Drosophila melanogaster: one gene and its partners. The protein of the gene in region 1 purifies or fractionates together with the protein of each later gene. This does not show direct contact. Each region holds a gene or a part of one and is shown in the gene's direction. Other genes may lie near its edges. The genes, in order: al, CG4707, Tim10 and Hsp60A.

Evidence for each region.
Region 2: the proteins of al (region 1) and CG4707 purify together in Drosophila melanogaster (affinity purification with mass spectrometry, with the first as the bait; one large-scale study listed by BioGRID). This does not show direct contact.
Region 3: the proteins of al (region 1) and Tim10 purify together in Drosophila melanogaster (affinity purification with mass spectrometry, with the first as the bait; one large-scale study listed by BioGRID). This does not show direct contact.
Region 4: the proteins of al (region 1) and Hsp60A purify together in Drosophila melanogaster (affinity purification with mass spectrometry, with the first as the bait; one large-scale study listed by BioGRID). This does not show direct contact.

The regions. Positions count from the first base shown.
Region 1 is NT_033779.5:375,767-381,527, forward strand, and holds the start of al (aristaless), read left to right. Parts: upstream 1-2,345; 5' UTR 2,346-2,715; intron 2,716-5,761. UniProt on the Drosophila melanogaster protein: Involved in the morphogenesis of proximal and distal pattern elements in a subset of appendages. Also has a role in early imaginal disk development.
Region 2 is NT_033778.4:24,603,904-24,609,287, reverse strand, and holds CG4707 (uncharacterized protein), read left to right. Parts: upstream 1-2,264; 5' UTR 2,265-2,386; coding exon 2,387-2,503; intron 2,504-2,566; coding exon 2,567-3,840; intron 3,841-3,903; coding exon 3,904-4,294; intron 4,295-4,349; coding exon 4,350-4,589; 3' UTR 4,590-4,693; downstream 4,694-5,384. Other genes in the region: CG42361 (uncharacterized protein), read right to left, coding at 756-969, 1,027-1,145, 1,204-1,494; CG42360 (uncharacterized protein), read right to left, coding at 1-198, 252-353, 1,767-1,922; Samtor (S-adenosylmethionine sensor upstream of TORC1), read right to left, coding at 4,730-5,384.
Region 3 is NT_033778.4:21,688,784-21,692,993, reverse strand, and holds Tim10 (translocase of inner membrane 10), read left to right. Parts: upstream 1-1,854; 5' UTR 1,855-1,884; coding exon of another isoform or gene 1,885-1,922; 5' UTR 1,923-1,993; coding exon of another isoform or gene 1,994-2,153; 5' UTR 2,154-2,205; coding exon 2,206-2,356; intron 2,357-2,519; coding exon 2,520-2,647; 3' UTR 2,648-2,779; downstream 2,780-4,210. Other genes in the region: CngB (cyclic nucleotide-gated ion channel subunit B), read left to right, coding at 1-224; Ppcdc (phosphopantothenoylcysteine decarboxylase), read right to left, coding at 302-562, 620-759, 824-998; CG42496 (uncharacterized protein), read right to left, coding at 1,014-1,298; CG42497 (uncharacterized protein), read left to right, coding at 1,885-1,922, 1,994-2,153; CG10307 (uncharacterized protein), read right to left, coding at 2,807-3,067, 3,126-3,710, 3,772-3,951. UniProt on the Drosophila melanogaster protein: Mitochondrial intermembrane chaperone that participates in the import and insertion of multi-pass transmembrane proteins into the mitochondrial inner membrane.
Region 4 is NC_004354.4:11,105,908-11,113,076, forward strand, and holds Hsp60A (heat shock protein 60A), read left to right. Parts: upstream 1-2,574; 5' UTR 2,575-2,726; intron 2,727-3,895; exon of another isoform or gene 3,896-4,018; intron 4,019-4,133; coding exon 4,134-5,504; intron 5,505-5,567; coding exon 5,568-5,918; 3' UTR 5,919-6,401; downstream 6,402-7,169. Other genes in the region: CG42249 (uncharacterized protein), read left to right, coding at 1,284-1,441, 1,500-1,599, 1,662-2,013, 2,072-2,171; CG11122 (uncharacterized protein), read right to left, coding at 6,944-7,169. UniProt on the Drosophila melanogaster protein: Prevents misfolding and promotes the refolding and proper assembly of unfolded polypeptides generated under stress conditions.

The DNA.
Region 1 (5,761 bases):
CATCATCTCAAACAACACCATCTTAGCTTTGAAGTTGTCTTTGTAAGTTTTATAAGAATAATTAAGCAAACACCAAGCAGACACCGCTAGTTGATTAAAGGCTACCATCTTTGGAAGGTCTAACCAAATGGCAAGCCCCTCAAATCTATTTCATTCTCCCAGCTGGCAAATGGCAACTGGTAAATTCTTCTATCTAAGCCGCATAATGGTCATAATGAATAAGACACCTCGGACAGCAGATAGGGAACGGGCGAGCTGACTTGGCCACTTGGCTGCAATTTGTTTGCTATCAGCCAGGAGAAAAACGGCGAACGACTTATGGGGGAAAAGAAGAAAAAGGAAAACGCGCAGCAGAAATAAAATTATTTAATTGCGCAATTAAGTGCACATTTGTAGCGTTTTGCGCGACATCTGTCCCATGTGCAGGAGTGGATGCAGACCCACAGCCACAGCGCGGAGTCGAAGTCGGGACCGGAAATTCAATTGTTGAGATAATAATTACATTAGGACGTGCGCGCATGCGCGACTCTTTCACTTTAAGCCTCCGTCTCTTTCGCGCTGTGGAGCGATCTGAGCCTGCTTAGAGTGGACCCGAATTGAGTCCGAACGGGGAAGAATGTCCACACGGATGTATTGAGACAGAGGAATACCTAGTACTAGATCCATTTCACCGCTAAATTACGAAATTTCCCTATTCGAATAAACCATCAAATATCCTCTTATAAGCATATATGCTGCGGACTGAATCTGTACATATAAAGACCTGACAATTCTCTAATTTGGATTCCGATTAAAATAAATTAAATGAAGTTCAATTGTGAGGATACCATCTTATTCAAGGGTAAATACATCAAGCCCTTGCTCTTCCCGAACACTGGGTATAATAAGTGCACACCTTGCGCGACGGGCTGATTGACACGGCCACATGGGGACGAGAGATACCGTGCTCGGTACCAGATATTCCCGATCCCGGTCCGAGTTTGCTGTCCATTGAACTCGTCGGACAAATGGTCACTCCTCGTCCGTCGACGGTCGATGGTCGCTGGTCTTTTGTTTGCATTTCGCCCGTAAATGAAGCGTGAAATTGGCAGCAGTGCAGCGGACTCGATCCAACTCCGACTCCAATCCCTATTCCGATCTGCAATGGAACTCGGAGAGCGTCGCATTGTTTACTTCTTGTTAAGGCCCGACAATGGGATAATATGGCCATATAATGGCAACACCAAACTATTTGTATGCAATTGCCATTAACACTTTATTTATTGCCTTGCGATACAAGCAAATTGGGCAGCGAATGATGGTCGAAGGAGGGGGACGCTTCCAGTGCAAAATGCCGCTGGAATGGATCTGTGGATGTATAAGGCCCGCTTATATAAAGCCTAATGAAGTGGTTATCAAGGAATGGAATCTGTTAGGTCTGCTCGGAAATGGCAAGAGCTGGGCTGAGTTCAGTTTTTCATCATGGACGGAAAACATTTTTCCTTGGATTACATTAAATTACGAAGATGGATGTGATAAAAATGATGTGATGTACAAGCCTATGGCTTGTATTTCACGTTGTATCAATCTAAATCAATATTCACTTATTTAAAAACTATCAACGGCTTTTCCAAACATCCTTCATTCAAATTTAACTTGAGTCATCTACATAGCTGGCTCATTGACCTTTTTCTCAAGTTATTGCCCTTCCCCGCATGACACCCCCACTCCGATGGGTAAGCAAAACAGTCTACAGTCCGACAATCATCCAATAAAGCCAACAAAGTCATTAACGAGGCCCTTAACACTACCAAAACGGTCTATATGGCCGGTTCCAAGTCCCCACCCCAATACACGCAACTCTTTTTCCCATATGTCTTGGCTAAATTATTTAATTTATGAGCCGCAACAACTGGCAAATGCATCTATGGCAACCAGAGGAAAACGCGTTGAGCTGGGGGGCAAATAAATTTCCATTTTGCTAATCAAATTTATTGCACTTTGTGCGGGGCTTATTCAATTACGCCCAATCGAAGAGGCGCGAGAGAGAGGGCCATGCGGAGCGACAGAGAGCGGTAGAGAGCAGCTCCGCCATTATTTCGCTCCGTCGAATGCTGCTTTCCCATAGGCCGAACCGCCAGAAAGAGGCGGAGTCCGCCTCCCGGCCACCTGCCGCCTCACCTGCGACACCTGCGACGATCGATCGACATGCTCCGATCGCATCGCTCCCTCTCGCTCTGCGGCACTACGAAACACTAAAAACACTGGGAGGCCAGAAAACCACTCTCGCAACATTGGAAAACAACAACTCCAACCGGTTGTTGTTTCAGACCCACCAGAGTTTTCACCTGCGCGCCAACTGCTCACCGTGTAGTTTGCTGCCGGCTCTGGAACAGCCCGGTCATCTCGTCGCGTTCGGTTCCGATTCCGATTCGAATAGTCGAGCTGGGGATACATTGTTGTTTCCGGGTTAAAGTGCGTACGATTGCGGAAGTGTCGGTATCCTGCGCGTAGTACAAAGTTATACCCATCAAAGGTGTATCGCGATCAAAGTGAACGCTTGGTACTCGGTATCTGGTTGTTGGAAGAAGTGGACAAAAGACCGTCGGCAAAAGTTACTGTTGGTGAGAGCTACAGGGCTTATTAGCCCGGTTAAATAGGAAGAGAGAGATTCAGAAGGCCAAACATTATCAAGACCATCCGTACAATATCTGGCGATTAAGGAGGAGAAGGAAGGTTAGTCTCAGACATTTTATCAAAAATATATGAAACATTCTTTGGACAGAATAGGATTTGTTATATCGAGAGCGTGCATTAAACAGGGAATCCTAGTTACTGTAACTCATAATTTTTTATCACAACCGTAGTCATTGCCTTATATCATATCAAAGATAGGGATTTTCTTAATCAAGCAATTTATATAAATTTTGTTTTAGCCCTAAACTAATCTTGACCCTTTTCCGCCACTTCCGATCCCCAAATCACATAAACTTATTATCACACCTTGCGAATAACCTACTTCTCAGCATGATAGACAAATACTACAAGTATAAGCCATAAATGAATTTCATAATTCACCTGTCTAATCATCCCAATCAATGTGAAGAGGGAAAAATAAAACGTATGACGAGACATAAATATCATTAAATTTGATTAATTTCCCACCTGGACATATCAAATCAGACAAATATCAAGCCAAATCGTATCATCGCTGTAGAATAGAATTTTATTAACTCAATTTTGAGGGTCGAAAGATTTCGCCTTTGCCTTAGCTGATAGTTCGATAAGTTTATCGCTGATTGGTTTTAATTAAACACCATTAAAGAGTACAAATTGTCAGCAGTGCAGTCAGCGCCAATAAATCACGTTTTGTCTAGCTGATGTTTTTCCCTTCTAGAGGTGGTTTTGGTCGAAAGTTGGGGGCATAGTCTTATGCTTGTCCCGTGTACCTACAGAATAAATGAAATTAACCAGCCACACCTATCACCCGCCGATAATCTTGTCAAAAGCCACTGACCACTTAGCTTCGTGACGCGGACGAGGGCCCCGAATATATAGTGAAAATAACACAAATATAGACAGATATGTGGGTCCTGATAAGGCAAAGGAAAACCGGGACCCTCTTTCCTGGTGATAATCGGGCACTTGGCCAACTGATTTAATTAATACTTATAACTCATGTGACTTGTCAGCACAAGTTTAAACGAATTTGTGACGCAAGTTGGTCGCAGTGTATTTGTATCTATGAGGTAGCATCATTCCCAATAGATAATACCGAAAAGATTCGATAAGATTGTCCCGTACAGCGTAAAATTAAAATATGTTCTCCACCGAAATGTAGTTCAATTCAATTACGGCAACATACAATTAAAACTTGTTGCCAGATACCTTAGATACTGTATCTTGTAGATATACACCCGAATTTTTGGCAGCTATCTGAACACGAACTCTGATTTGATTTGATTCGCTGTTGTTCGATTGCTCGACAGCTCCCAATTTGGGGCGCTGTCTTTTGAAGGGATGTCGGTTGATTGTTGATCGTTGATGGCAACACACCCCCCGAGAGAAATCTTCTCCAGCGGGAAGATGGCGCCAGGGCCCTTTGAGATGTGCTTCATTAATTCTTGTCCCCTGCCCCTCGCTAAATGGAACATGCAAACATGAGAAATTAACGTCGTCGTCCACAAATTGCCCACCGTCTGCCTCGGATTCGCTTATCAAACCACACAAGACAATGACAAAGGGCAGGGCGGAACAGTCGAAGATGGAGATGGCGTCGGGCAACAGTTGTCCAATCCCCAGATCCCCGATCCCCGAACACCGATCACCGATCCCCGATCCCCTCCGGTCCCAATTTATAGCTCCTCACTGCGACTGCTGTTCTTAACATGCTTTTTATGAGTAATTGGCCCCGCATCAACATCACCAACACGGGCTAAGCTTGTAGCTACAGCATCGCCATTCACCATCAACAACTTCTTGGTCTTCTGTGTGGGTCTTGAGTTGCTGATCCTGGCTCTGAGTCACAATTTGAACTTGCGTCTACCTTTGGACTACCGTCCCGGCACTCTGATCCATTAGGGTGGACACGGGGTAATTTTTGCTACCTGGGAGCGAATCTCGAATGCCCTTGGAGAGCTCGAAATCCATGTGTCAATACATTTTTACCCAAAAGTTCAAGTACATACAATTTTTATTGTATTTAGCTAATAGATAGTCTCAAATGGGAACGTGTTCTGCCTGTAGACCTAAAACTTTAATGTATACCTTAAATTGTAGACATATTAGGGATTATATAGGATAAGTAGATCAACAACTTAGTTGACCAACTTCATTCACCAGGCGTAGGGGAAGGGTACTAGACCCTTCGTTGCAACTTCGTCTGATAGGCAGTAAATTGAATTAAGATTGTGGAAAAGAACAACAAATGAGGCAGCAACTTCGACACAGGATATGAATAAACTAATTATAATTGGGAGTGTGTGCATTAGAGGTCCATAACGTACACCCCAGAACAAGAGGTACAGAAACAGACGATGATGACGGCGCCTGGCCAACAACAAGAATGCTGCCTTATCGCACCTGGTCCAAAAGACGGCGCCAAGAAACAAACAACCCAACAACTGGAAGGTGAATGGAGGGCTCAGGTGCAGCTTAAATGAGATAAACACTACGGAATTGACTCGACTCGGCCCAGCTCAGCTGCTTGTGATATTAGTTAAAAACATTTCTGGGTGACTTACAAGAGCTGGTCGAAAATAATAATTGGTCTTATCGAACCAAAAGTAAACGACCAAGCTTGGAACGTCGCTGGCCAATCCGTCAACTTCTCCAGGGGACCACCAAGGGACTGGTATCGGGGGCGATCATTGAGCTTTCGCTCGGGGCCAAAAGTTAAGCCACCCAAAATGCTTGCCATTATCGAAGAACCGGAGGCGAAATTACAATGCCGATCATCAAAGTGTGACTAAAGTGGTTTAGCCTAATGTAAACCCATAAATAAGCAGCCCAGATACCGGCCAGACTGGGGACTGGCTGGAAACTGGAGTCTGATCAATAAAGTCTGGAGAGTGGAGGATCGAGACGGAGGCGCATTAACGAAATGCCAGAAAAGAGCTTCTGTTTGCTGTTCTACCTGATGCCGTCCCTCTGGCCCGGCTTTTAATGAAATATGCCAGCCCAACAGTCCCCAGACACCGAGAATCGAGGATCGAGGATTGCACCGGGAAGATCGGGAGCCGAAGGAGCTAAAACACAAAAGTGCAACCATAAAAACGACACC
Region 2 (5,384 bases), on another chromosome or scaffold:
CGGGTTGTAGAACTTCGGCTTGGGCAGGGCGTTTTTCTTTTCTGGCGATTCCCTTCTGCGGAAGTCCAACCTGCGCTTAATGTGATGATTTTTCTGCAGTGCATACTTTTTTTTAATGGAGTTTAGGAACTTGGATACCATTTCTCGATTAAGTGCCTTCTTCTGAGTCGCATTGCGCTTCAGTCTTTTCTGGCCGTTCTGTGGAGTATCGCATACTATAATACAAATATATTTATATTTCGATTGCTTACCTTTGGCTTAGGGCCTCGGATCTTCTTGAAGCCCTTGTGCTTAACGGCTTGTTTGGGCATTTTGGTGTTTGAGCTGGAGGCCCCTGTTTCTTGTGCTGCGATCTATAAATGGAAAAATGGAATGTAATTAATTGATTTGTGACTTGATCATAGTTTTGGAAAAGTTTTTCTACGGTTACTTTTCCTACTTACTGCGATTTCAAATACATTGATTCTTTAAGTGCTTTGAGTGAAACTGCATTTCTGTTACATCATTTACATCAATTTTATTCTGAGCTGGAGTTTACAGGGCTTACGTATATATCTAGGCGTACACACTAACTAGGAAAATGATTTTGATTACACTTCACTTAGGAGTAAAATTAAGTAGATGTTCGGCAGAGAAGGTTGCTCAACCAATACACGAGTGCCTTGCAGTCAACCGAGGTAAAACGGCCAGTAAGTACACAACTCAACAGCAGTAAACAAAGCAGCCCCGTTACATCCTGGTCCTCCAACTCTGATTTACTGCTTCTTCAGCTCGCTGATCTCGTTGCGTATGTTGGCGCGGGCTAGCTCTTCGTACTTGTCGTGGTAGTCTCCAGTGGCGTAGATGGAGGGAATCATCAGCAGGGTCTCCAGCACCTTGATGCGCATGGCCTTGTAGGTGGCATCGTCGAGATTGGCGTACTCCGAGCGAAGGAGAGTTGTATAGTGCTTGTACTCCTCCGGCGAAGCACTTTAGTAGTGTAAATGGGTTTTGAAATACACGGACAATGATTGCACAAATACTCACGCTAGGACCACCAGGTCTACGTCCTGCAGCAAGTTGGCCTCGTCGTCATGGCACCAGGTCAACTGGTTCTCCGGGGTCTTGCGCCCCAGCAAATTACATACCAGGCTTTTTGCATGGTCCTGTTTAAGGTAGAGCACGCCGAATATAGAGGTTTAGTTACACCGCACGCCTACTCACATCCTCGATGACGGCATCATTGCAAAACTCCTCAAAGACCTCGCAGTTCTTCTCCGCACAGCTGCGGTTACCATCGAAGTGGTAGTACTGGAAGAAGGCGGCCAGCACAATGTTGGGATTGGCCACGCCCGCCAAGTGCGGCTCCTTGCGCCGCATCATCTCCTCCCAATTGTGGTAGGCGCGAGCGGGATCCTCGGAGCTCAGGTGCTGCTGAATGCGGGCGAACCACTCGTTGGCCACCTGCTCGGGCACATCGTGGTGCTCGCACACCTTCTTCCAGATCTTCTCCATACTTGGTGGGTTGTAGGTGATACTTTGGCCTCTTGGATTCGGACTTGCTGATTTCGGCAGCAGTGATTCAGTTGGCTGGAGCTGGTCTTTCTGGAACTTTTCACTATTCGATGGGAATGTGGGGTGCAGGGCGCTGGCGATTGCGCACTGCCCAAAGAAGCCCCTACCACCACTTGGTTACCACTCGCGGGAAAACAGAAACTGCGCGTGCCGCCGACGCGGGCTTGATATTGTCGCAAAAATGGATTTCATTTATAAAACAGGCAACTTACCACCGTGTCCTTAGGATAAGCGTCCCTTTGGGGATCCTCGGCCGCCAGCTGCAACAAGATATTTGAGGCCATTGCAGAGGCCGATCCGCGCTTGTGCCAAGGTTGCTTCTTCAGACTGGTCCCCGTGGGATCCTTGTTTTTATTGGTTTCGCTCATTCGGGGCAATCGCTTCTGAATAATGCATTAAATGGTTAAAACTCTGATCTTTATCGACTCAACAAAGCTATGGGAAACAGCTGATACCGCAATGTGCGTTATGTTTTGGTATTTTTTTCAAGCACGAGGCCCTTTCCACTGTGCGAGGGGGCAATCTAAAAGGCGTTAGGGTGTAACTACATTGTACAGTTAATATAAATTTCTTGCATTAATATATTAAATTATATAATTCGCCCAAAATTGAAATTGCTTTAATACAATACAAAGATCAGCACATCAAATTGTTTTTCAGTTTCACTAATGATTATTCTGCTTGTCTCGATACTATCGGCTCACCAGCTCTTCATGCACGCCCCTGTCAACCCTGCTTTGCTTTGGAAAACAAATTTTTGCAAAATCGTAAACAAAAACTTTGTGTGGAAATGAAGCAGGATTAGGACTCAGCCAGTGCATCCGGTTTCGTCATGACTGTCTGTGTGCTCTGCCTGGACAGTAGCAATGCTGGCTACGGCCTACAATCCGAGGAAGGCGTCCGTCTGAACATTAGGGCGACCATCCACAAGCACTTCGCGTTCTCCGAGGTAAGCTCTGCGCCATAATCGCAAGTTTTGGATAAACCAAACCGAACTCTTCGCCATCCACAGGTTCTTACGGCTGGCGGTGATGCTGAGGTCTGTCGGGAGTGCTGGAACTGCGTTAGCAGCTTCGAGGAGTTTCACCAGCGCGTCTCCTGCCTGCACCGGCAGCGGAGCAGCGATTCCAAAAGCGAACCCATCGAATTTTGCGGTCAGACAGAGGAGGCCATCATTAATCCGCTATATTCTGTGGAGTTGGACGCGTTGGCGGAGGCCTTTTTTGCGCCCAGTGAGGTCAAGGTGGAGGTGAACGAACTAGAACCCCTGCCCAAGGTGGAACTCTTGGAAGACCCAGTTAAAACGGAAATCAGAACAGCTCCGAAACGGTTGGGTGTCCCAAACGAAGGCTCACCACACTCGAAGCGGCGCATTAAAAACGAGCTGCCAGTGGATAGTGACTCGGATGCACCTCTGGCCGATTTTTTAAACTCGGATTCAAAGAGAAGTTCAGTTGGACCCGCAAAGAACAGCGAAGCGAACAAGGGACGCCAGCTACGAAGGAGCGCAAGAAGAGGACGGCCACCCAAAGCTAAGCCGGAATCGGCTCCTTCCCCAAAGAAGGAACTGGACTCCGAAGATGGCGAAGAAAATGCCAGGGATAACAATGACATGGAGTTCGTGGCTCCCGAGGCTGTCTTGGGCACTGACGACAGCTCCAGTTCCTCCAGTGAGAGCAGTGGAGAGGATTCCGACCACAGCCTGCCGGACATAGAGCCTGAGGAACGTTACGCTGAGATTCCCAAGCGGGTTGTGGTGAAACCTAAGAAGTACCGAAAAAGGGAAAAGCCACTGGTTCCACCCGTTCGTCTGAGTCGGGAGGAGATTGAACGGAGGAAGCTCCAGCAAGACGAGTACGATGAGATTATCCTGCAGTTCTTCAAAAAGTTTCCGTGCTCTCTGTGCAATCTGCTGGTGCAGAACTTTGCGGACATGCGACGCCATCAACGCGTTTCCCACAACATCGAATCTGGCTACATCGAATGCTGCGGGAGAAAGTTCCACCTGCGCAAGGCTTTGGCCGAGCACGTCTTGGTCCACAAGAACCCAGATCACTTTATGTGCTCTCAGTGCGGGCGGGTATTCCAGGACTCCCGCGCCCTGGAGGTCCACGAGCAGACACACACAAACCCGGAGGTCAAGGCGGAGCCGAAGGAGAAGCGGATCTACCAGTGCGAGAAGTGCCCCAAGAGCTTCACAACCAAGGCGGCCATGGAGTATCATGACGTTTCCAAGCATGTCCCGAAATCCGAGTTCAAATACTCTTGTCCGGAGTGCAACAAGAAGTAATTGTCCATCAGGTATGAGGCATATGAGCAACCCCCCAAGTAATCCCTTAATGCTTTCAGGATTCCTACGGAACGCAAACTGAAAGAGCACTTGCGTTACATGCACGACCCGGAAGCGGCCATCATCTGCGATAAGTGTGGCAAGACGCTACGTTCACAAACGAATCTCAAAAAGCATCACGAGCTTGAACATTCCGAGAAACCGCGTCCAAAACCCGATCCCGTGCAGTGCGAGATCTGCGGCACCTGGCTGCGCCACTTGTCCGGACTAAAGCAGCACATGAAAACGGTACACGAGCCGCCGGGCGACGAGCACCGCTGTCATATCTGCAACAAGACATCCACCAATTCCCGAGCCCTGAAGCGCCACATCTACCACAACCACCTCTGTGAGCGAAAGTTCAAGTGCGGGATGTGCGAAAAGGCATTTAAGCGTCCACAGGATCTGAGGGTAAGTGTGGGGCTCACTTACAGAGAAATCTAAGTATTCGACACCTAATTTACAGGAGCACACATCAACGCACACCGGAGAGGTGCTGTACACCTGTCCTAACTGCCCCATGACGTTCTTTTCCAACGCCAACATGTACAAGCACCGTCAGCGGCTCCACCGAGCCGAGTGGGAGGCGGATCGCAAGAAACCGCTCCCGCCGAACATCATGAAGATTTCGCAGGGCGCCACCACAGCGATGAAGAAGCGCCAGACCAGCGGCGCGCTGTTCCCACAGTCGGAACAGAAGCAATAGCATTTGTCCATTTACGACATCCATAGATAGTAGATAAATCGTCAACCATTATTATTAACTCGCACTTAACACAGATAAGTTAAGCCATAAATAAGTAGACGTGGACATATTTACATCGATTTATGGGGGCTGAATCTTATCTAGCTATCGTCCTGCGGTATCCGAATTTCCTCGCACATCCCCTCCTCCCGGTGAATGCTCGCCCAGTGCTGTGAGAGCTCCCGGCTGATGGCCTTGCGGAACACCATGCACGATATGTGCGGCAACTTCTCGAAGCGTACCCGTAGCAGTCCAATCCTGGCCAGGGAGTAGCGCCAGTTTTTCATGAGGTGGGCGTTTTTGCCAACATGTTGGGAGTCCGGTGTGATGAGCACAAGGATGCCCTCGGGCAGCAGCAGGTCGTAGGCCTGAAGGCAGCACTGTAGTCTCTGCTCGGCGCTGGGCATGTATTCCAGTAGCAAACTGAAAATGACGCACTCGTAGTGGCTTGCTGGTAGCCTTCTTACGCTGCCCTCCTCCAGCTCAGGTTCTCGTATTCCGGGTACCACCTCCACTTTGAGGAAATCCGCCTGCAGCACATCTTCGGTGGCGGGACACAAGTCCAGGGCGGTTACCTCCAAGTGCGGAGCACTGGAAAAGGGATTGAAGCAGCTGCCCACATCCAGGACGTGCAGCCTGTCCGGCGGCTCCTCCATCAGCCTGCACTGCACCTCGCCCAGTTTTCCCTCGGCTCTGTAGGATTCCAGGAGTCGCTGCTCCCGCTGGCGCTTCTGCAAATATATGCCCTCGGTAAAG
Region 3 (4,210 bases), on another chromosome or scaffold:
AGATGGAGACCATTGTTGAGCCCAAGATGGAGGTGACAGGCGCTGCCGAGACGCAAGATCAAAAGGGCTTAAAGACAGGACGATGTTCGCCAGATTTGCTATCTTCCATACAGCAAGAGCTGAAGTCTAAGCACAAGTTTATCAACCTCACGGACTCGGAGAAGGCGCTGATCAGCCAATCGGCAAACAATTCCCTGGAGGACATGAAGGTGGTGGATCTCTAAGATTTCATAGCCAATTCCATATTATTTGTCTAACTATTGTAACAAAATATTCTGCGATATAAACTTTGTGTGCATAACTATTTAATCGGCTGAAAGGCGGATAACACCGCTTCCACAATTGTGGGTACCTCCGCCATGGCGCCGTTGCCAGTATCACCGCACATCAGAGTCTTGGATATGCAGGGTATCTCCTTGTAGCCCCAACTGGTCAGCTTGTCGATCTGCTCCCGAGTTATTGGATGGTCGTACATACGGGTATTCATCGCAGGTGCAAAGAGCAGCGGCTTCTCAAGGTCCCAGGCCCGCACCACACACATGACGATATTATCGCAAATCCCCTGTCATAAAAAAGATACTGAAATAATGTTCTGGGTAAAATGTCGACCCAAACTTACGGTGGCCATTTTGGACAGAGAGTTTGCGCTGAGTGGGGCTATTACCAACAAATCCGCCCACTTGCCTAGATCTATGTGGAGTACAGGATCTCCTCGCTTGTTCCAGGTGATCCACTCGTCGCGATTGTGGTAAATGGGTACTACAATATATGCAATAGTTTGTTAGTTAAAGTTAACAAATACCCGAAGATTTAGACAACCTACCATTTTCGGGAATCTGCTCCAGTTCAAAGAAGTGTTTGGCTGCTTCGGTAATAAGTACTTTCAGGTGGAACTTAAAGGGTAGGCGCTCGTCGGAGAGCTCTCGGATTAACTGGGCTAACTTAATGGTGGCCACACTTCCGGTGGCCGCTATCATCACATTACGTTCGGGTTTCATGGCTCACAATGCCGGCTATTGCTTCTGCACCTCCGGTTCTTTTTGATCGGTCTTGGTACTCTGGTCGTGAAAGCCCAACTTGGACCACTCGGTTTTCTCCATAAGATTGTTGTCCATGCGACAGGCCAGGTAGTTCTGGGCGTCCTGGCGGCACTGGCTCGTATCCTGGGCGTTCTTGCGCAGACAACTGGCGTAGAGGAGGAATTGCTTCTTGCAGAGACCTTCGTGGTCCAGGGGAAAGGAACCCTTCTCGGGCGGCGTGGGCACGAACTTCTTCTGGCTGTAGATCTGCGAAGTCATTTGTGAGTTGCTCTGCTCGCTCCTTATCTTAATTCATTGATAAAATATGACTTAAAATTACGAAATAATTGTGTAAACAGCAAGTCAGTGTGACCAGAGAATGTTGGGAACCACAAGTTGAAAAACATTCGGAGTTACAAAGGTCACTTTCAAATCTTATATGAACTTAAATATTGAGAATCTTATAAGATAAAAAAATGAATAAGGTTTCAAGTATGAAATTCAAAATCTTAAATATGCTAAAGCAATAAATACTCACAATGTTGCTAACATATTTATCACTGATACTGATAATTAACATGTAGCATTTAAAATTTGCAATTTTTAAATTATATTAAAGCCATTGACAAACATATAAAGTAATTTGGCTGATTAAGTGATAAATAAGTACAGTTCCAGAAAACAAATCAACCTAGCAATACAGATTCACTCTGATTCCGAACCAACTCAAATCACAGTTTCCCAATACAGTGACTTCGATTGAAAGGAATAACCCTATGTGACAGCTGTCACACGTGCCAGTGATAAAAAATCCCGCACACCTTCCAACGGAACGCGTTAGTGTGTCGTTTTTTCGTAGCAGGCTATGTCGTTGGGCAACGCAGGGCGAATCGCTGTCTGTTGGTTTGTAGAAAAATCGTTTTTAGTTACACACACTTAGCTTTACTACATGGTGTTTGAAAATCCCGAAACAGGACTGTTTTGACCGTGGGTGGCGTCTACGCATTTGTGCTGTCAAAGAGATCCGTTGAGAACCGGCGTTACGAGAGCATGCGAGTGCGTGAGCGCATGAGGAAGGCAAACCAAGGGGATTACGACTCAAGCGCAGCATCGGACAGGCGATTCGATTACTAAGCGGCAGCATCCAGTACCTAAAACCCATCAGTAACACACCCACACCCACACAATGGCATTGCCCCAGATCAGCACCGCAGACCAGGCCAAGCTGCAGCTGATGCAGGAAATGGAGATCGAAATGATGTCCGATTTATATAACCGCATGACGAACGCTTGCCACAAAAAGTGCATTCCGCCGCGCTACTCCGAGTCGGAGTTGGGTGAGTACCATAGCCATATAGAATGCTGTATCTAGTTCGCAGCTCTTTCTATGACAATCACTTCAGGTTTCTCTTTGATTCGATTGATGAAATTTAAATAGAAATCTTGAAACTTGTACCACAATTCTACACTTGTAATTTTAATGCTTTCCGCACCCTACAGGCAAAGGCGAGATGGTGTGCATCGATCGCTGTGTGGCCAAATATCTGGACATTCACGAGAAGATCGGCAAGAAGCTGACGGCCATGTCCATGCAGGACGAGGAGCTGATGAAGAAGATGTCTAGTTAACCTGGCACCCATTAACCCACATTTCCGCTTAACCAATGTGCATTTTTGAAGCGCTACGATTGTTAGAGGTACATGTACAAAACACCCCGTTGTAGAGAATAAACCACAGATTTATGTGTGCTACATAATATCAGACCTCGTTGACACAGATTAATGCATTCAAAAGGTGGTGACAAAGCGCGACATTTCCGGCAGCATGACACTCAGATCCTCGATGTTGTTCTCCAGCGCACTCTCGTCCGTTGTGTCCAGTTCGCTGGTCCGCACGCTGTTCGCCCAGTCGGAGGAGTCTAGATCCTGTCCTGCTCCTCGCGCCTGATCCTCCTGCTGTTCCTGGGCGTTGAGGCTAGCTCGACTGGCGAGACCATCGCAAATATTGGCGGGATCTGACGGCAGCTCCACATAAAGGTTCGTCTGGCGCTGTAAAATTCAGAGAAATTCAACAAAAAGAAACACAAAGGTTAATTTGGAGCTTCACCAAAGCCATTAGCTGTAGATCGCGGTGCAGGCTGATGGGATTCTTGGACAGGTTGAGCATGTGAAGAGTCCGCAACTCCTCCAGTTGTGACCGCGTGGGCATCTCGTCAATACAATTTTCGTTGAGAAAAGCAAACCGCAGCTTCTGCATGGCCATCAGCATCCTGGGCAGCCGTCGCAATCGATTCCCCTTAAGATTCAGATGCACCAAATTTCCCAGCAACGCCATGGTCAGTGGCACTTCGCTGAGTTCGCAGCCCTCGGCTGTTAGCCAACGCAGGGAGGACAGAGCGCCTATGGCATCGGGCAACTTCTTCAAGGGATTTCCCCGTACGCCCAGCGTCTCGAGGTGTTCACAGTTACGAATTTCGTTGGGCAGCTCCAGGAGCCCAGTATTATTGCACCAGAACGTCTCCAGCTGAGTGAGGTATCCCAGTTCGGGTGGCAAACTACTAATGTTATTGCAGCTGATGTTGAGAAACTTCAGCCGGACCAAACGACAGATGCAGAGCGGGAATTCGTCCAGTTTATTGTAGTCCAACGTGAGGACCTGAAGTCGCATCAAACTACCAATGGAGGATGGAATCTGTGAGTCAAGGGATTGTGAGTCTATTATTTCATTGGCTATCTTGTGCACCAGGTGCCACCTTTGTTAGCTTGTTTTGGTTGAGGAACAGCTTCATCAGCGTCTCGCACTTCTCTATGATGCCCGGAACGTCGGAGATTTGGTAGTGGGACAGATTCAGGGAGAATGCCTTTTTGTATATGGCATCCTCGCAATTGGCCAGCACGTAGTTGTTGCGGAAAAACTGACAAACCTTCTCCATGTCGCCCTTATTAAGTGTTTACTTCTGCAGCACTTGAATTTGGTTGTCTTGGGTTCCAAACTATTTCACACTCTTTGGAAAACCTACTCTGTTTTTGGCGCTAGTAGCTTAGTTTTCAGGCCTTGTCTTTTGTAGTTTCGAACTGTCGCCCGATTTGCGCGTTTTTTCGTTTGTTTTGAGTGCATGTTATATAACGATTCTCGGAGTCTATATATGCACAAAAATCTCTATTTGCTGCACTCTCTTTTGCCTGCCTTCT
Region 4 (7,169 bases), on another chromosome or scaffold:
TCGAATGGCATTCACAGTTTAAAATGTAATTTTTTGTCCATTTTTCGCAAAAAATTATGATTATAAAAAATCAGAAAATTCGAAAAAAAAAAAATTTTTTTTAATTATGAAAACGTTGACAGGAATCGTTTATTTGGATCATAAGTTTTATAAAACAGTAATTTTTTTGAATGTGTGACCATTTTTGGCCAAGTTATAGGATTTTAAATTCTTCGAAAAAATCATAATTTCGGCTAAATGAATCCCCAATTTTGCAACAAAAACTAATCCTTTTTTGTTCATAGCAATGAAGTTATTAATCCAAATACGGAATGTCATACTTCGTTGAACTCGTCACCAAATTCCCTTTCGAATGGCATTCACAGTTTAAAATGTAAATTTTTGTCCATTTTTCGCAAAAAAATTAAGATTATAAAAATCGGAAAATTCGAAAAAAAAAATTTTCCAGAAATAAATATACGAATTTCGGGATCGTTTATGTGGATCATAGGCTGCACAAAAAAGTCATTCTCTTGGTTGTGTGATCGTTTTTGACCGCGTTATAGCAAAAACTCCTCTAAAAATCTTCAATTGAATGTATCCCTCAGATCTTACGTACGCCCATATAGTCAGCATGTCGCCCTTCGAGAACACGCTGGTTTCCTACAATCTGCCGGGCAGCAAGATAGTGGAGGCCATGGAGTGGGCCCTGAGCAAAGTGGACCTCGAGAACGGGGTGACCGGATCGTACATCAATCTGCAGTTCTCGGGCATCCGGGCGAAGTACGACTACACGAAGCCGGTGGGATCGCGTGTCATATCCGTAACGATTCGTTGTGCGGACTGCGAGGTGCCCAAGTACGAGCCTCTGGTATCCGACAAGCTCTATCGCCTCACATCGCCCAACTTCCTGCAGGCTGGTGGCGATGGCTACACCATGCTCGCCGAGGGCACTGACCTCCAGTACGTACATACAGGCAGCTCATCTTGTGTCCCATGTTGTAATACCATTTGATTATTTACTGATTTCAGGTGGGGAGTCACGGACTTGGATGCCCTAATCTCGTACAGCAATCACATCAATCCCATTTACCAGGGCCTCGAGGGACGCATCACAGTGCTCAACTGATTATACATACATATGTATTATATCCATAATGTGCAATAATTGCATTTTCCACAATAAATTTATCAGGGAAAGTACACAAACATATCTTTTCTCTGGAAGATTATTGATGCTGGGGAATATGTTTGGAGGCAATGGTTGCATAATATAATCATATACCATTTAAAATCTCCCAAAGATGATATCGTTCTACAAGCCATGGTGCCTTGGCAACTCGAGATGAAACCCATTGCCGAGCGGACAGTGGGCCAGAGTCGCGTGAATCTCCAGCAGAGTCAGTGCAGCAGTGGGGAATGCAATCTGGGTAACTTCTTCACCGATGCTATGCTTCATGCGGTAAGTAGTGGTGGCTTCAACCCACTTGCAACTGACCTAGTCCAATGAGAATCTTCAGTTTGTCAAGGATGCTTCATCGTCGTCTGAAGAGAGTTGGAGTAACGTGACCATTGCCTTGACATCAACGGGAACTTTTCGAGTGCCTATTCCAGCTGGCAGTGAGTCCTGAAAACAACATGTATACCTTAATCGAACAATAAGACTAAGTATATCACTACAGACATCACCTACAAGCAATTGTTTGCCATGTGCCCATGGCAGAATAGACTGGTGACCCTCAGTCTGCGTGGTAAGCACATTGTGGAGCTGCTGGAGCATGTGGTGGCGCCCATGAATGCCAGTTCGGCCACGCCGCGTTCCTCCCGATTCCTCCAGGTTTCCGGTCTCCGTATCCGTTACGATTTGAACGCCGATCAGCGAGTATTCAGTGTGCGAGTAAGATGCTCCAAGTGCCTGGTGCCCAGGTATATTCCACTCGATTTGGAGCACAAGTACCGCGTGGTCGTCATGGAGTACCTGGCGAATGGGAAGAACGGATTTAGCGTAATCAGCGAAAATGCAGAAGATCCAGAGTAAGCATGTTAAACAATGTTGATTTTGAATAAAGTATTAAAAAGCTTTTTTTGCCAGGTTTGGTCCTTTCGACTTGGACGCCTTAATGGACTACATGAACTCCACCGGGCCAATTACGACTGCAATCGAGCAAAGGATTCAGTTTGTAACTACTTAGACTTTATAGTATGGTCGAAAAATGTAGTAAACCTATATAATAAAATATACATATGTATGGTTTCATTTTGAAAAAAAAAAACTTAGGCGCGAAACTATCGCTTTCCGCATCTAACATCTCTAGCATAACGTATAAAGCTTGCTGCGATAGTTATTCATTATTATATAATTGGATTATTAATAGTTGCGTTGGATTTGCATATTTGCTGTTAATACATTAATATATTAAATTGTTTTCTTTTCTATGGAAACCAGAAAACTTATTTATCGGCGAAAGCTCAATTTATTATAAATATTACTTGAATGCGAGTCCCCCATATGGCTGCCGATAATATTCGATTGCCCGACGCAAGCAATCGATAAGCGCCGGCTATTTTCGATGGCCAACGAATGGTCACACCGATACACATTAAGGTTAGGAAGTTCGGACCGCCTGTGCGCACATTTCGAAGCGAGTAAACTGTGGTGAAGTGGGCTTGTTGTTTCACATCAAATAGAATCGGAAGCGTTCGCTTAACTGTCTTGTCAATAATTCGCAGTACCAGTTTAATTCACAGTAAGTTCTAAACTTTTAAACAATTTCCAGAGCCATTCCCATTTGCCCAATTGCATTTCAAGTTTGTGTGCAAGTGTGTGTGTCCCATTGGCGATTATATAAGAGCGAACAATCTGGCCGATAGCCGGCAAATCGTGTTTCCAGAATGTTCTGTTCATTGATAACTGGAAAAGTAAACGATGTCTGCATTGTGCAGTAAATGATTACATTCCAACAAGAATTTATTAAATCCACCTCAAAACACACAAACACGCATACGGGCGCGCACATTGGAAAGCTGGTGGAAACTCAGTTGCACATGTTTTCCACTGCTTGCCGGCAATTTCACATTTATCAGACGGCATTGCATGTGCTGCTACTGCTTGCCCTGCTTCCTTTCTTTCTTTCCACTCTCGTTTGCGGAAATCTTTGATTCATTGAATAACATTCCCTCCCATTTTGGGAGCTACATATTAGTCTTTTGCCCAAGTGCTGGTTACATAAATCGTTTCTTCTGGAATGCTCGGTGCCAAGATGTTGTTCGTTCCCCGGGGGGTGGGGGTGGGCACTGGAATGAGGGGGCCTGGCCGGTACAGTGGAGCCTCGCTGCTGCAACGAATTAGTTTACATAATACTATCAGTAATACCTAAACTCATTGATTTGGTTTAATTTTTCAATTCAAAATAATGATGTTTATAAGGATGAGCAGAATCCATGTAAATATCTCATGTTGCCTGTGTTTTTAGAACTATTTCATCATTAAATTAGATAGAAACAATAGGTGATTACTGTTTAAATTCGTCTTATATTTTATTTTATTGTATTCACATTAATAACAACCTAAAAAAAAAACATTCTTTCTGCTTATGCAATTCTCACAGAGATATTAATTAGTTTATGTAATTTTCGAAAATTGTAATTTTTATAAACCGAAACTAGATGTATGTACATCTGTATTTATCTAATCCACGTGTTATATGCCATAAATTAGCTCAATGATTATGTTGATAATGAGTTTTTTGCATTGAGCTTTATTAAAAAAATGTATATTATTTTTTTTATAACTCTTTGAAAATTCCCAATTTTTGGAGCATTGTGCGTTTATGTAATTTCCATAAGTATCCGTGTAAATAACATTCCATTGGCTTTTGCTGTCAGTAATCTGAGAAGTTTACAGCTCTGATTATCGGAAAAGTCAAGCGAACTGCGTGTGTTAAACAGTGCTCACGCGTTGTATTCCCAATTTCACATTCAAGAACGAAGATTTTTGACCTTTGACCCGCTGGAAGCTTATCAACTAAGAAACTCCGGGGTAAACAACTCAAAGAAACCGCATCTTAGTTCTGCCCAAGGCGGAACACGTGCTTTGATTCATCTCTTGCTACCAGCCAGTTCTCATCATACCAATCCTCTCTGCTCTTCCACAGATGTTCCGTTTGCCAGTTTCGCTTGCTCGCTCCTCCATTAGCCGCCAGTTGGCCATGCGCGGCTATGCCAAGGATGTGCGTTTCGGACCCGAGGTGCGCGCCATGATGCTCCAGGGCGTCGATGTGCTGGCCGATGCTGTGGCAGTGACCATGGGCCCCAAGGGTCGCAATGTGATCATTGAGCAGTCGTGGGGCTCGCCCAAAATCACCAAGGACGGCGTCACTGTGGCCAAGTCCATTGAGCTGAAGGACAAGTTCCAGAACATCGGTGCCAAGCTGGTCCAGGATGTGGCCAACAATACCAACGAGGAGGCCGGTGATGGCACCACCACGGCCACCGTTCTGGCTCGCGCCATTGCCAAGGAGGGCTTCGAGAAGATCTCCAAGGGCGCCAATCCCGTCGAGATTCGTCGCGGTGTCATGCTGGCCGTTGAGACCGTCAAGGACAACCTTAAGACCATGTCGCGCCCCGTTAGCACGCCCGAGGAGATCGCCCAGGTGGCCACCATCTCGGCCAACGGTGATCAGGCCATCGGCAATCTCATCAGCGAGGCCATGAAGAAGGTGGGACGCGATGGCGTTATCACCGTCAAGGATGGCAAGACCCTCACCGATGAGTTGGAGGTTATCGAGGGCATGAAGTTCGATCGCGGCTACATCTCGCCGTACTTCATCAACTCCTCGAAGGGCGCCAAGGTGGAGTTCCAAGATGCCCTCCTCCTGCTGTCCGAGAAGAAGATCTCATCGGTGCAGAGCATCATTCCCGCTCTGGAGCTGGCCAATGCGCAGCGCAAGCCGCTGGTCATCATTGCCGAGGATATCGATGGTGAGGCCCTGAGCACCCTGGTGGTGAACCGCCTCAAGATCGGCCTTCAGGTGGCTGCCGTCAAGGCACCCGGCTTCGGCGACAACCGCAAGAGCACCCTCACCGATATGGCCATCGCCTCCGGCGGCATTGTCTTCGGCGATGATGCTGATCTCGTCAAGCTGGAGGACGTCAAGGTTAGCGATTTGGGCCAGGTCGGCGAGGTGGTGATCACCAAGGACGACACCCTGCTGCTGAAGGGCAAGGGCAAGAAGGACGATGTGCTCCGTCGCGCCAATCAGATCAAGGACCAGATCGAGGACACCACCTCCGAGTACGAGAAGGAGAAGCTGCAGGAGCGTCTGGCCCGCTTGGCCTCCGGCGTTGCCCTGCTGCGCGTTGGCGGCTCCAGCGAGGTGGAGGTCAACGAGAAGAAGGATCGCGTCCATGATGCCCTGAACGCCACCCGTGCTGCCGTCGAAGAGGGAATCGTTCCCGGAGGCGGCACCGCTCTGCTGCGTTGCATTGAGAAGCTCGAGGGTGTCGAGACCACCAACGAGGATCAGGTACGATTATCTATCTCTCTTTTCTGTTATTCGTGTATTAATGTCTATGAAATCTCATAACAGAAACTCGGCGTGGAGATTGTGCGTCGTGCCCTGCGCATGCCATGCATGACGATTGCCAAGAACGCCGGCGTTGATGGCGCCATGGTGGTGGCCAAGGTGGAGAATCAGGCCGGTGACTACGGCTACGATGCGCTGAAGGGCGAATACGGCAACCTGATCGAGAAGGGCATCATCGATCCCACCAAGGTGGTGCGCACCGCCATCACAGACGCCTCCGGTGTGGCCTCACTGCTGACCACCGCCGAGGCTGTCGTCACCGAGATCCCCAAGGAGGATGGCGCTCCTGCCATGCCCGGCATGGGTGGTATGGGCGGCATGGGAGGCATGGGCGGCATGGGTGGCATGATGTAAGCGACTGCCACTGACTGGTCGACAGCCGGAGAGGGGGAGGGAGATGTGATGAGAACCGAAACCAGCATACTGTTTAAGTCACGATGTGGAACGATGACGTCGCGTGGTCGGCGGCGAAAGCAGCTCATCAGTTATCAGTCATCAGCAGTCGGAGCGAGACCCACCAATATCTCTTACATCGGTGCATCCAGCCGGAGACACATCACCCACCATTTGACACGCATTCTAATCCTTGATGGAACTTTGTTTTGCTTCGCATTTATCCTTTGGCAAGAGCAGCGCAACATCAGCACACAAATCCAACACAACCGGCTGGGTGTGAGCTCGTCGAGACTGCAGCGTTCGCTCCGCCACACGCCGTCGCCTCCATTGTGCTCCACGTTTTTTTAACTATTCCTTAACTCTATTTTTTTTTACATGTTATATATGTAAAGATACCGCTAGTTGTAAAATATATTAAATAAATCCGAAGTTAAATTGAGGAAAAACCTGGACGGCTTGTATCTCTGGCGGTTCGCTACTGGGTTACTGGCATCCCAAATGAGAAGATCGGTCGTCCGCTTTGAATTGTTGTGCTCAAATTTATATTTGTTGCTCTTTCGCTTTTTTGTTTCTTTTGTTTATTAATTATAAATACATTTAATAAAAAAAACCTAAATAATGTAACGCTTAGATGTTTAAAAGAAAGAAAAATATGTTGCATATACTCCGCATACGGTTAATGGGTGCGGGGCCAGGAGGTGGCCTCTGCCAAGTGGGTGCTCCCGCTGCCGCTCCTACTCCAGCTGATCCCGATCCCGAACCAGATCCTGATCCTGATCCTGATCCCCTCCTGGCGCCGGCGTTAACGATTAACGATGACACAATGGCAGTACGTATGTGATCGATGGCGGCGATGGGTCGTCGGCTGCCCGCGCCGACTCCGCCCCTCGAGGCCTATGGCTATGACTTGTCTGGCGGGAGGAGACTGTGCTGTGCTCCTACGCCAGCTGTTGCTACGTCTGGTGACGCTGCTCCACCCACTCCTAGCACTTGCGCTTTGGCGTGCGCCGCTTGACACCGCAGTTGTCCACCTTTTTGCTGCCCTTGGCGATGGCCAGCAGCTTCACGAGCTTCTTGTGCGAATCGCCCACGATCCAGCCGTGCTTCTGGTACGTCTCGTTCTCCTCGAAGTGTTTACCCGGCGACGGTGACGCCTCCTCCGGCTCCAGTTCCGTTCGTTCGCCATCCCGCTGCTCGCTGCCAGCTCCA